Drosophila melanogaster: one gene and its partners. Changing the gene in region 1 together with any one later gene gives a genetic interaction. Each region holds a gene or a part of one and is shown in the gene's direction. Other genes may lie near its edges. The genes, in order: Hsp60D, aos and grim.

What was found.
Region 2: of Hsp60D (region 1) and aos, changing one suppresses a phenotype caused by changing the other (phenotypic suppression), as found in Drosophila melanogaster (one study listed by BioGRID).
Region 3: of Hsp60D (region 1) and grim, changing one suppresses a phenotype caused by changing the other (phenotypic suppression), as found in Drosophila melanogaster (one study listed by BioGRID).

What each region holds. Positions count from the first base shown.
Region 1 is NT_033779.5:13,447,034-13,451,020, reverse strand, and holds Hsp60D (heat shock protein 60D), read left to right. Parts: upstream 1-1,523; 5' UTR 1,524-1,674; coding exon 1,675-3,351; 3' UTR 3,352-3,483; downstream 3,484-3,987.
Region 2 is NT_037436.4:16,480,637-16,485,567, reverse strand, and holds the start of aos (argos), read left to right. Parts: upstream 1-1,917; 5' UTR 1,918-2,491; coding exon 2,492-2,887; intron 2,888-4,931. Other genes in the region: CG33158 (uncharacterized protein), read right to left, coding at 1-131. UniProt on the Drosophila melanogaster protein: Regulates cell determination; development of ommatidia and optic lobe. Is a signaling molecule involved in the process of axon pathfinding in the eye. Part of the Ras pathway regulating programmed cell death in pupal eyes; activated by lozenge (lz).
Region 3 is NT_037436.4:18,302,208-18,306,297, reverse strand, and holds grim (grim), read left to right. Parts: upstream 1-1,880; 5' UTR 1,881-2,198; coding exon 2,199-2,615; 3' UTR 2,616-3,579; downstream 3,580-4,090. UniProt on the Drosophila melanogaster protein: Activator of apoptosis, independent of rpr and hid, that acts on the effector Dredd.

The sequences.
Region 1 (3,987 bases):
ATTAAGACATGATCCATTATCACATGTAAATTCCGAAAAATTGCTAAATATAAAAACTTCTACTTGGTTAAAATCAGATGCAAATGAAATACTTATTATTTCCCATATTCCTAGAGACATTATAAAAACTGCACTTTTTAACATCATACCATATCCAGACAAAGATAATAATATACTTATAGAAAATGTAAATGATAAATATTATATTCAAGATAATCAAGTTTACAAACAAAACTCAAGAAAGCCAATAATAAACAAATGTATTACAGGAATATTAAATCAAATACCAACAGAATGCAGATATTCAAAAACACATAACAATATTGGAATAACTTATGTAGAACCAAACATAATTTTAACTTGGAAATTATCAAAAATTGTATTAAATCAAAACTGTATAATTAATAGAGAAATTATAATAGAAGGAGACAATATAATAAAAGCTTTTAATTGTTCTGTTCAAATAGAAAACATATTAATTACAAGCACAACACTAGACTACACACAAACGGTCTATATCAATAACAATGTAACAAAATTAGAACCATTATCATATCTAAATGCTAAAGAAATAATTAAAGAACACACTAATACATACAACACATTACAAATTATTACATTAACTATACTTGCTATTATAATACTTACACTTATACTATATTTTATTTATAAATATAAAGGCATTCCCAAAAAACTAATTGTTAAATATAAAAAAGAGAATCCACAACAAATAGAACAACAAAATAACACAACAACAGAAAATATAAATACAGTATTTGATACTAATCCTGTATTGTATCCTAGAATATCCGCCTGAGGACAGGCTAAATTTAAAGGATGGGGAAGTAGCATATGTGCCATAGTATAAGACCACATATACTTACACACACACACACATACATAACCACATAGGAACAGCCATACACAAAATCATAGAATGCCTTAGGATATAAGTCATAAAATCATGTATCCAATAAGAACCCAAATTCTGGTGACAATAACAAATCCAGCCTACCCTAATGTAAACATTAACATCCGCTGCCGAATCAGTTATTCCCACCAAAGGGTCAAAACCGCTTACGCAGCTCAAGTTCTCGGCTGATCAGTACCCATGAGTGATCCACTCAAGAAGGCACCCAATCCAACAGACATAAACATCCGCAGCCGCATTCGCGACTCCCACCAGAGGGTCAAAACTGCTAACACAGCTTTAAGGGTCAAAACTTTCCACGTAGCTCAAACTCGGCTGATCTATATCCATGCGCAATCCACTCAAGAGAGCGCCTAATTAACGTAAACATAAATGAGAGCCTATGTACGCTCAATATGAAGAAGTAAATAAGCTCAGCCAAGGGTTTGCTAAGCGTTCGCTTTGCAAATTAGATTTAGATTTTATTCATACTTCAATTGTGTAAGACGTGAATTTGTCTCCGACATTCGCTTAAGTTTTTGATCAATAAAAATACTTTTTTTTTATAAACCAACAAACCGCGAAGTTGTAATTATATATATTTCAGTGAGTTACCCTTCAAAAATGACCGAACTTTTCCAGATTAACATTTTCTACACTTTACCGATATCAAGGTAATTAAATTTCAGTTAAAGCTTTTGATAAACGTAAATTAAAAGTTCTCTCAAAATTGCGACAAGCAACGTGAGTATCAAGGAATCAGGATGCTGAGCAGATTGGGCCGGAGTGGTCGGGCCGGTGTGCGCACCTTTGCCAATGACATTCGCTTTGGAGCCGAGGCGCGCTGCCTGCTTATGCAGGGCGTGAACGTCCTGGCCAACGCGGTGGCCACCACTCTGGGCCCGAAGGGCAGGAACGTGCTCATCGAACAGCTGCTGATCTCGCCCCGGATCACCAAGGATGGCATCACGGTGGCGAATAACGTGCAGCTGGGCAATCGTCGGCAGGATATGGGAGTTCAATTGCTGCGCCAGGCCACCAATAATACCAATAATAAGGTAGGCGATGGCACCACCACGGCCACTATTCTGGCCCGTGGAATAGCCTGCCAGGGTATGCATGTGTTGCGCCAGAGCAAGGTGAACGTCCAACTCCTGCGGGAGGGCATTCTCGAGGGATCGCGCGCTGTGTGCGATGCTCTAGGTGAGATGTCCCAGTCGGTGGATACTATTGGCCAAGTGGAAGCAGTGGCCAAGGTGGCACTGAATGGAGACGAACGGCTGGCGGAGCTGATTGGTGACATCATTTTGGAGCTGGGCGATAGCGGCGTCATCCTGCTGAAGGAATCCCACAGTCCCTTCGATGAGGCTAAGATCCAGGAGGGTATAACCATCGCTTCGGGCTACTATTCGCCATTCTTTGCCAAGCAATCTCATACCCTGGAATTGGAGAATTGCTTGCTGCTGCTCACTTTGGCTAAGATTGATCAAGTGGAACAGATACTTCCCGCTCTCGAGCTGGCCAGACTAAAAGAACGACCCCTTCTGATCATTGCCAAAAATTTTGGTAGCGATTTGCTTAAGATCTTAGTGCTAAATAATCTGCAAGGTCGAGTTCAGGTCTGTGCTGTGAAGGCTCCAAGCTTTGGGGACGAGCAGTGCGAGGAAATGGAGGATATAGCTTTTGCCACCGGTGGCCATCTTCTGGAGGATGCCTCCAGTCTGGCGGATCTCAGCGAGGAGGATCTGGGTGAGGTGATGGAGGCGGTGGTGGACGCTAAGGAAACGCACCTATTGCAACCGATCAATGTGAACGAGGAGCAGGTGCAGTGCCGCATCCAGGACATTCGTGAGCTGATCGATGAGGCTTTCACCGATGTGGAACTGGATCGCCTGAAAACACGACTTGGTCGCTTGCAGGGCCACCTGGCCACCATTTTCGTGGGCGGTACCAGTGAGCTGGAGGTGAGCGAGCGAAAGGATCGCTTCAACGATGCCCTTCACGCCGTTCGAGTGGCCATAAGTGATGGTGTGGTTCCCGGAGGAGGAACCGCCTATCTACGATGTATTCCAGTTCTGGACGAGTTGCCGCCAACCGATATAATGGAGCTCCAGGTTGGCAGGGAGATTGTAAAGGACGCTTTACGACTACCATGCTATACAATTGCCCGGAATGCTGGAGTGGACCCCAACGAGGTACTACGTCGGGTTTTAAAGGGCAGTGGCAACTACGGATATGATGCCGCCGCTGGGGAATTCGGCGATCTTGTGGTCCGGGGAATTGTGGATCCCACAAAAGTGTTGCAATCAGCCATGACGTCTGCCGCAGGAATTGCCTCCCTTTTGGCCACCACCGAGGTGCTCATCACTAAACAACCCACCAAACCGAAGATTCCGAAAAATCAGGTCACCAAGGATCTTGCTAAACTTGTTGGAATGTAGGTTAGGTAGTGCGTTTTGAAGAAACACAACATTTTATGTAATGATAAAAAGACCTAAATTCTATGTTGAAAAACTAAATGGTTAATACAAAGAAAAAATAAAATAATTCTGAGTTTCTTGTTTGCCATTGTCAAAATAATTTTAAACATTTCCATTTCCCATTTTATTATTTTTGCAGTGTATTTGTCGATTCCCTTCCATTTATGACTTGTTTCCTTGTCGAATCCCTAATTAGAGCATATATGAGCACGCATGCCACATTCAATAGACCCCTCACATTCCGAAGTCTCCGGATCCGGCTCCTTTGCCACCCACAAGCACTCAGTCATAACTTGACGTCCTCCGACTCCTATTCCTCCACTTCGACACGCGCCCAACTTGACCTTAACCATTTGCTGCGCTTTGTTTGGGTGCCAATGGACAACAAACAAAATATGAAAGCATTTGTGGCTTGAGTTTGGGTTTTTGGCGGGTGGGGGGAGGAAATGTCAGCAGGGGCATTCCTATTTATCATGATATATGGGCGTTACATAGGAGGTTCTATATGTCAATGGGGCGAGCATATACAGCGTTGTCATTAACGGTGATTAGGGACACTTAAGTGCGTCAGTTTGCATCACGTATACGCCACAATGA
Region 2 (4,931 bases), on another chromosome or scaffold:
CATCTCCTGGGCGAAATTGAACGACTCGATCACCGGCAGCAGACAGGTGACCGCGAAGTTGCCGCTGCCCTGGGTCAAATCGCCGGAGAGGATTTTGCCGTGCCGCCGGCCAATTACCGCGTACATTTTACCTGCGAATGATAGAAAAAAGAGATACGTTCTTTGATCAGCTGTTGGTCGTTAGCTAGAAATCGAATTGGAAAAGGTTAAATGGAACAGGGAAAAGGGAAACCACCTCCAACTAACAATGGCCGCCTTTCAGTTGGAGTTGTCGGTTCTGCTTAATGCTCCTATATCGCCAGCTCTTTCTTGTGTTCTTGTATTGTTGTTGTTTTGGCTATTGTTGTTGTTTCTGGCGCGTCTCAAGGTAACTCGTAAACAAATGAAATCTTATCGGGTTTGGCCCATAAAATTGGCGGGCTTTCTGCCGAACCTCGCGCGTTTTTCGCTTGAACTTCCAAGCTGAAGATGGAGATGAAGATCGTTTCCAGGTCTCTCTCGTACTCTCCATATACACTATCTTGGGGCATTCATATTTTTTTTAGAAGAATATTGAAAGGAATAATCACAAAGGAACAACCCAAACAAAAAAAAAAAGACTAACGAAACAGACTTTTTTGAAAACCTCACAAATTGACAATCAAGTTATCAAAGGCACGCCAAAAATACGAAACTTTTTTTTTAACATTGTTACATTACTTTTACATTATAAATGTATTGTAGTATAAAAATTGGTGTTAAATAAACATTACATTTTCTTGCAACTCTCAAGCATGTATTACTATAAAAGTTTATTGATAGACCCAAATCCATTTAAACTTTATGATCTGTAATTACCAAGGTAATTAGCGGTTTATTAGCCGATTTTATAAGCCAGTTCGCCACTAAAGCTTTGTTTCGAAGGGCATTTAAAGCATCGACTTTAAGCTCGATCTTCCTTTTGTGTTAAACTCTTTTCTGGATTCTTCTCCAGTTGTTCTTTTTTTGGCATGCGCTACAAGAATAAGGCCCAAACATGAAACCATGGCAAAAGGAGAAGGTTGAACGATGAAGGCCAGGAGGAGGCGGCGGCCCAAGTCCAGGTCGTTGTGGCTAAGGCAGGAATTAGTTTCCGGTGCCGTAGTAAAAATGACAAAAACAACACGGCGGCAGCAAAAACGGCCGAAAGGATGCAACGGAAGCGGCAAGAGCCGCTTGGCTGCGAAGTCCCCTTTTAATTTTTTGTTATTTTGTTGTATTTTATTTCGTTGTTGCTTTTGCTTTTGCTTTAAGCCAAGCACGCGAGCCAGAGACACCTTGCCATCCGCTCGCTCTCACCAATACAGCCGCGCTTAGTCACAGATGCATCTCACAGATGCGCGCACGCACACAGGCGCAGCAGCAATGGATGCTGCAACCACCAGCGGAAAAAGGCAGCAACAACATGTTCATTCATTCATATCCAGCCCACTCTCTTTCGTGTTCTCTCACGTTCGGACGCTGCCGCTCATGCACTGGGAACAAATTCGGTTGACCAAATATGTGAAAAGACAACAGTGGGTTCAAAAGACTGCTTTGAATACTTTTTGCGTAACACACTTTCTCTTTTAAAGATTTCGTACTACTTATGATTTTACCTCTTTGTTATAAGATAATAACATTTTTTGTTAGATGTACATATTTATTTGATTGAAAATTTATACTACTTTATAAAAATTCTTATACAACCAATATAATAAATAATTACATTTTATTGAATTGAGAATAATAAACAAATTTTTTTTTTTTTTATATTACTATTAATTTCTCTGTTTAATCGAGCATTTTCTCTCAGTGCACAGACACGCACATACCGGCAGCGACGCGAGCAGCGCACTTCTCTGCCGGCTTCAACGGCTCTCGTTCGCCGCGCGCTGTTCGTTTTTGGATTTTCTGTTTGATCAGTTCGAAAAGTGAGTTGGTCGAGCGAACAACGATAGAGCGAGGGCAGAGTAACCGAGGCGATACGATACGATATAATATAGCATCGGTACCATTGGGTATACGTTCCAGGAGCGAAAGAAAAGACGAAAACGAGACGAGACGAAAGGCCACCGGAGACAGCGACGTCGCGGGTGTTAAGTTACTAAATAGCAAACAGAAACTACCGACCACCGACCGATTGCAGTGAATGAAATATCCAATAATTTCGAGTGACATTCGCCACAAATCAATCGATCGTTCGATTTGAAACCTGATTTGTAGAGTTCGTTTCTGCCAGTGTGTGTGTGCATGTAAGCCATGGGTTCTGGGCGAGCGAGTGAGATAGAGCGAGAACACTGATTCGACTCGATTCGATTCGATTCGATTGGATTTGATTCGAATTCAATTACAAAATTCATTGAGTGTCAATTACAAACCGCAAGAAAACAACACGCACGGAGATTCGGAAAGATCCCAAGATCCAAATACAAGATCCAGATCCAGATTCTCGAACATCCAGAGATCCCAGCCAGAGTCAGAGTCATAAATCATGCCTACGACATTGATGTTGCTGCCGTGCATGCTGCTGTTGCTGCTGACCGCCGCTGCCGTTGCTGTCGGCGGCACGCGACTGCCGCTCGAGGTGTTCGAGATTACGCCGACCACATCCACAGCGGACAAGCACAAGAGTCTGCAGTACACCGTCGTCTACGATGCCAAAGATATTTCAGGAGCAGCGGCAGCAACTGGAGTGGCGAGCAGTACAGTGAAGCCCGCCACCGAGCAACTGACCGTTGTGAGCATTTCCTCCACAGCGGCTGCGGAGAAGGATCTCGCCGAGTCGCGGCGACATGCGCGACAAATGTTGCAGAAACAACAGCAGCATCGCAGCATCATCGGCGGCAAGCACGGCGATCGGGATGTGCGCATCCTCTACCAAGTGGGGGTGAGTAGCTAGCAAGTACTAAATTCATTTGATTAGCCTGGCTAATTGCATGTTTGCATTGATCGGTGGGGCTAAGTAAAAAAGCATAAAATAAAACACAAGGTACCAATGAAACCAACAACTGGCAATGGCAGGTTGCATAATGCAGGCAACAACGTCAGCAGACACCTGTTCAACTGGTTGCCATTTGTAAAATGCCCACGCCAGCGGTATCAACGGCAACAGCAGCATCTACACAGAAAACAATATTGATCGATTAGATAATTTCAGTCAAATTAGGGAAAAGCAGATCGGCTAACGGTCTGCCATACCAATTTATCAAAGAACTCTCAAAACAGTCTCTTATCTTCGGATTTGTAGCTTAATCAATTAATCAGTCAAATGTATTATAGCATAGATATATCTTAAATGTCATCGCGCAAGTCAACCTACGATTTCTTTCTCTGCACAGCAGGTTTTGCAATGCAACTTTTTTGGGCTGGGTCCGAGTTTTAGTTCGTTATTTTTACATATTTTTTTGCTTTTGTTCAGAAAACTCTGTCTATATTTAGCAGCCGCCCTATGGCCATTACACTTGACACCCACAAAACCACTATTCATATATCACCATACGCATATGGCACATTTAATTGCAGCGGCCACACTCGCTCTAGATGAAAAATGAAAGTTGTTTGCAGTCGGAGAGCTCAACACATCAACTGATCTGTCGCATTTGATCAATTAAAGTCGCAATTGCCATACAACCGAACGATATGAGCGATACCAAAACCAATTAGCCGGGCGGGTCAAGAGTTCAATGCTGGCTATTCATGACTAAGCCGACGGTACACCAAAAAGTTCTTGCCGTTATCTTTCCCCTTAAATCCGCTACAATGCGAATTCAGATCATAGGTCACCGCGGTTCCATTGTTCTCACTCCCGATCTGGCCATAAATCAAGTGTCCATTGAGAAAGAGAGGGGCTTGGATCGGTCATATATCATGTATCGTATATCTATTATGTCAAATGTCATACGACAGAACACGCCCTGAAAATCGAATTCTTGCTTGATGTTTCTACGAGGCCGAGGCGTGAAGTATCAACCCAATAGTAATCAAAAGCAAAATATTGACAGCATAACCAAGTCAGCCAAAGGGGCATGGCAGCAAAAAGGTTCGACTTAGAAATACCCTTGCAAAGGATCACTAACTAAGTGTGTAATAATCGGCGAGAAATTACCAATGCAAGGAAATTCTTAACTTTCTATCAGTACATGTGTAACAAGTAATAATCATCAAAACATAATCATGGTATAATTTGTAACTTTATAAAAAGCCCAAGCGTATCCTTAAACTTCTCACCCAAGTAGATAATACCATTTTAACCTTCTTTCAAGCCAAGGCGTTATGGTTCGACTTGGTTCATAATTTTTGTAATCCGAATGCATGCAATAAATTTTGGAACGCATATACATATAAAAAAAAGCATAACAAAGCAGCATCACAACACAACACCTTAAATAGACAAACAAAAAATTGAGCAGAGAATTCCTGTTGTTTGGAAACTTGCAATAAAAACGCCTTATTGGAGAATAGAACACAACGGAATAGATCCACAAAAGGCTGTGAATGAGCAGCCGGAAAGAGAGGCAAATAGCCAAATGGAAAGAGACAGGCGCAGGGGAACGAAAGAGACGGAGGGAGGAAGGAGGCTGGGAGCGAGGGAGATGAAAGTTTATAGAAGAAAACAAAAAGTTCCCATGCTTAAAAGCGCTAAACATTCAGTTCCGGTATTTAAAAACGTTTTCAACAGCCACGACTGAGACGGGGATAGAAGGAGACGGCAACAGCGGGGGGAGGGAGGGAGACGGGTAGACGGGGAAGACCTGAATGAAAGAAAATTCATGAATGAAATACGACCACGACGACTACGAGAAGTCGATGATGATGGTCATAATGACGGTGGTACGGTTTGGTATGGTGTGGTATAATGGGTGAAATGGAGGGGAGTCAGGGGCGCGATGCGGTGGTGCATGTGTGAGTGGCTACACTGAGCAAAGTTCTTT
Region 3 (4,090 bases), on another chromosome or scaffold:
GTTTTTAAAAATATTTCACCTCATTTTCCGCACACCATTTATAAGCAAAGTTACCCCCAACCCATAACTTTTATGGTAAGTAATACAGACCCTCCAAGTTCGGCAAATCGATACCCAGCGACCTTGAGCTTGACATTTATATATATGCCAGAATATAACGACCACGTGCTGTCAACTGTGTCAGGAAAAGCTCACCCACACTTTCTTTGGAGGAGCTGTGCTCCCTAAACGAATTTCATTGTCAAGGTCGCACGCACAAAAATGAAGAGGAAAAGCTGAATGTGGGTGGAAATGCCGGCCGGCACGACCTTGAAGCCAGTTGGGTGAGAAATAAAAAGCTTTTGCCGGTAGGAGACTTGTGGAACATCACCCACAAGTGGCGGACTTGGCCTTGGCGATGGCCTTGTTGGAGCTCCCTCAGCAAAAATGTTACATAGGGGGAGGAAATAAGCTCAATTGGCTTTATGCTTTCCGCTCCCTGGAAGTCCTTTTCTGGAATGTTAAAGTGTTAAATGACATTTATTGAACATTTGGGACAGAGGAGGAGATAATACAATATACTTGTCTAATTAAAAAAAATCGTTATTATGATTTATTCCATATGTAAGATTTTAATTCATCATGATTGTAAATAAATTATATAAAACAAATTCAATAAATTTACATTATTGATAAAATTTATTTTTTCATGAAATTATACCCAAAAATTATTCTCAATTTTTCTTATAATCAGTTTTGCATAAGTATACTTTCTTCATACCCCTCTACCACAGCCACTGCTTTCTTGACTTTGCAACTATCCGGGAACAGCTTATCATAATGGATGAGCTGCAGCTAACGGAAAATGGGGGAGCTGGGATCAAACATTTTCCAAGGTTGAAATTGTCGTCAGCATAATGTTTGAGGGAGCTGGATTCGCGTTAGCTTGAAGGTCAATCCATTTGGGTGCCCTTTGTTATGGTCAAGTTTAAGGCTGCAATAGGGGGAATCTTCAAGGACCATTACGCAAGGTTTTCGCATCAAAGATTTGCCGTGCAAGCTTTTTGAGTTGAAGGATGCTTAACTTGAAAGCGGGTTAGTGGTTCCAAGAGATTTTAGGTGAAGGAGACTCCGCTGTTTTGAAATATATTAAGTATGTAAAGAAGTATACTATAAATAACCCAAAGTGATACAATGTAAGAAAAGATCTCGTTGGTCCCTGGTATAAATTTGTTTGCCATTAATGAATATTGAAAATAATAATTATACTAATAATAGGTACAATAAGCAAGATTAAATTGCATTTAATCACCAAAAATCAGTTTCTATGCGAACCAAAATGTCATAACAAACAATTGTTGATTCATCCGTAGTGAAATCCAAGTTCGAAATTCGAAATGAGCATACGACGACCAAACTTCCCCTCAAAATTGCTAGACTCAGCTAGAGCAAGTACGCCCAAGTTAACCCCTGAAATTCGAAATGAATTCGATGCCGCGCTTCGAACAACGAAATCCCAAAGAGCTTACGTTTTATTTGACGTAGCACTCTTACGTGAAATGATTTTCCCCAATTCCGCTCTCATTTCCCGAGTCTCTCACCGCTTCTCAGCCACTTTCCCACCCCCTTTCTAGTTCCGAAGTAAAGGTAACAAAGGCAGCCGTGTCTTTGGGGTGGTAAACTGGCGGTGGTGGTGGCACATTGTCAGTGGTGTGGGTTCCTGTGGTTGGTGGTTCAATTGGTTGGTTGTTGGCATAAACAAAGCACACACACAATACACACAAACTCCCGGGGGGTGGTGGAAATTGGGAGGGTGACATTCACTGCGAGAGAGGAACTCGCTTCCTATAGGAAAGTACAAAGAGAGCTATTTTATAAATGTGACTGCAGCAAGGATATTTACAGTCAGTCCACTCTGAAACCTCGACGAGAGAACATTGAATAACAAGCGGAAGCGAAAAGCGCAGTTGAAAGTTCGTCAAAAAGCGACAAGTTTCCTCGTTCGTTTTCCCGCCAAATGAGTCAGAAAAATTTTCCAAGTGCTCGATACGAAACATAAAGACTTACAAGACTTAAAGTGCAAGCAGTGAATGGAATATATTATTCCTCAGCGATATTGAAATCAAACATTAAAAATATATGCTACACTAAAGTTATATATTTTTTTAAAGATTCATACGTTTTGTAAAATCACATTTTGTATTAAATTAAATACCGCCATGGCCATCGCCTATTTCATACCCGACCAGGCCCAATTGTTGGCCAGAAGCTATCAGCAAAACGGCCAGCAGACAGCAGCGAGTCCAAGGACAACTGCAACAGCTGCTGCACCATCGCAGCAGCAGCAACAATCGCAACAACAGCAGCAGCAGCAGCGACATCATCATCAGCAACAGCGCCCACAATTCCGTGCCAATATTTCCGTGCCGCTGGGAAGTCAACAGGGATCGATGACCATGTCGGAGTTTGGATGCTGGGATCTTTTGGCCCAGATCTTCTGCTACGCTCTGCGAATCTACAGCTACAGTTCGAGCCAGCGTCAACCGACGGTCATTCAGATATCCTTCGAGATCAGCAGCGGCGGTCAGAACAACGATGAGGACGACGTGACTGATGCCACCTCCAAGGAGAACTAAATTTGGTTTCCATATTTCATCCTGGTGGAGAGAAAATCTTTGGGATTTTCTGGGAAAGGCAGGCTCAATCAAAGCGCATTGTGATTTCTTTTTTGGGTATGGACACATGAGGAGGAACGAGTTTTGTAAAACATGGGATATTTCCACAACAAAATAAGAAAACTATTTTTAAACTATTTTTGAGAGAGAGAAAATTCAAAATTTGTCATCGACTTGCTTAAAGTGATTTTGGTTGTTTGTTACTTTTTTGGATGTCAAATTTTCCGATATAAGTTTTGAAAAAATGTTTAATTTTGCAAGCAAAGGTTTCCCGGTTGGTTCAAATACATAAACATACTTAACAACATTTAGAGAGCATAAAGAGAAATGTGTAAAATTGTCATAAACCTTATTAGTGTCTATACGTATGAGCAAAACCACAAGTATCGTACTCAACTAACAAATAATTGTCAAATTTTCTACTTCAACTACTTCAACTACATTTCAACTACTTACAAATATAAATCGTAAACTAATATTACAGAACTACAATACAGAACCAACAACAAAACAAAGATGCAACCGCAGCAACAAGAATAACAAAAGACAACAACTCAATTGTACAAAATAGATTTTAAGCAAACAGCAAATTTTATATGTTTACAACAAAGAGAGAAAATACAAAACGTCTACAAAAAATAGAATACAAGAACCGCCGAACAGAATACATTTTAACAAAAATTAAACAAAACAACAACAAACATTTAAGCAATTTTGATACGAATAATCAAGAATAACAAAATTTGAAATGTATCTTATCATTATTATTGATTTTAGCAAAATTCAAAACATATTATTTTAATTTTGGCATTGCAAATTAAACAAGAAATATTGAAATTAATCACATGTAAAGATAGCATTTGTAAGAAATTAAAATTTTTATAAGACAAACAAGCAAAAAATAAATACAATTTTATAAAAAATTAAAAAATACTTTGAACGATTATTATTGTCCCTTTTCAGAAAAACATAAAGAATTTTACCAACACCATTGCCGAGATATATATATTTAATTACCTTTTATTTCGGAGGTGTAGAACTCTATTAAAATGTTTTTGAAAAATTATTCGAAGCGTTTTTAAAATATTTTAAAAATAAACTAAAACGTTTTTAAAATAAATTCAAAAGAATATTTATTTGTTTCACCAAAGTTTTTATAAAAAAATACGTCAAAATAATATGAAATTTTGTTTAATACACTCTTTTAATAACCGCTTATGAATTAAGCCTTTGTATTCCATTTTGGGCAATGAAATGGCAAAGGATAACCGTCCTGCCAGGAAAAGGCGGAGTAAGCAAACATTTAGCGATCGCTATCGTCAAAACCAATATGTCACCTTAAAAGGGAAAACACATTTTTGGTTAAGGGCAGACAGAGAATTTTCCCGTCGTGTCATGCCAGGCACACTCCACCCAAAAGGGTTAAAAAGCAAAGG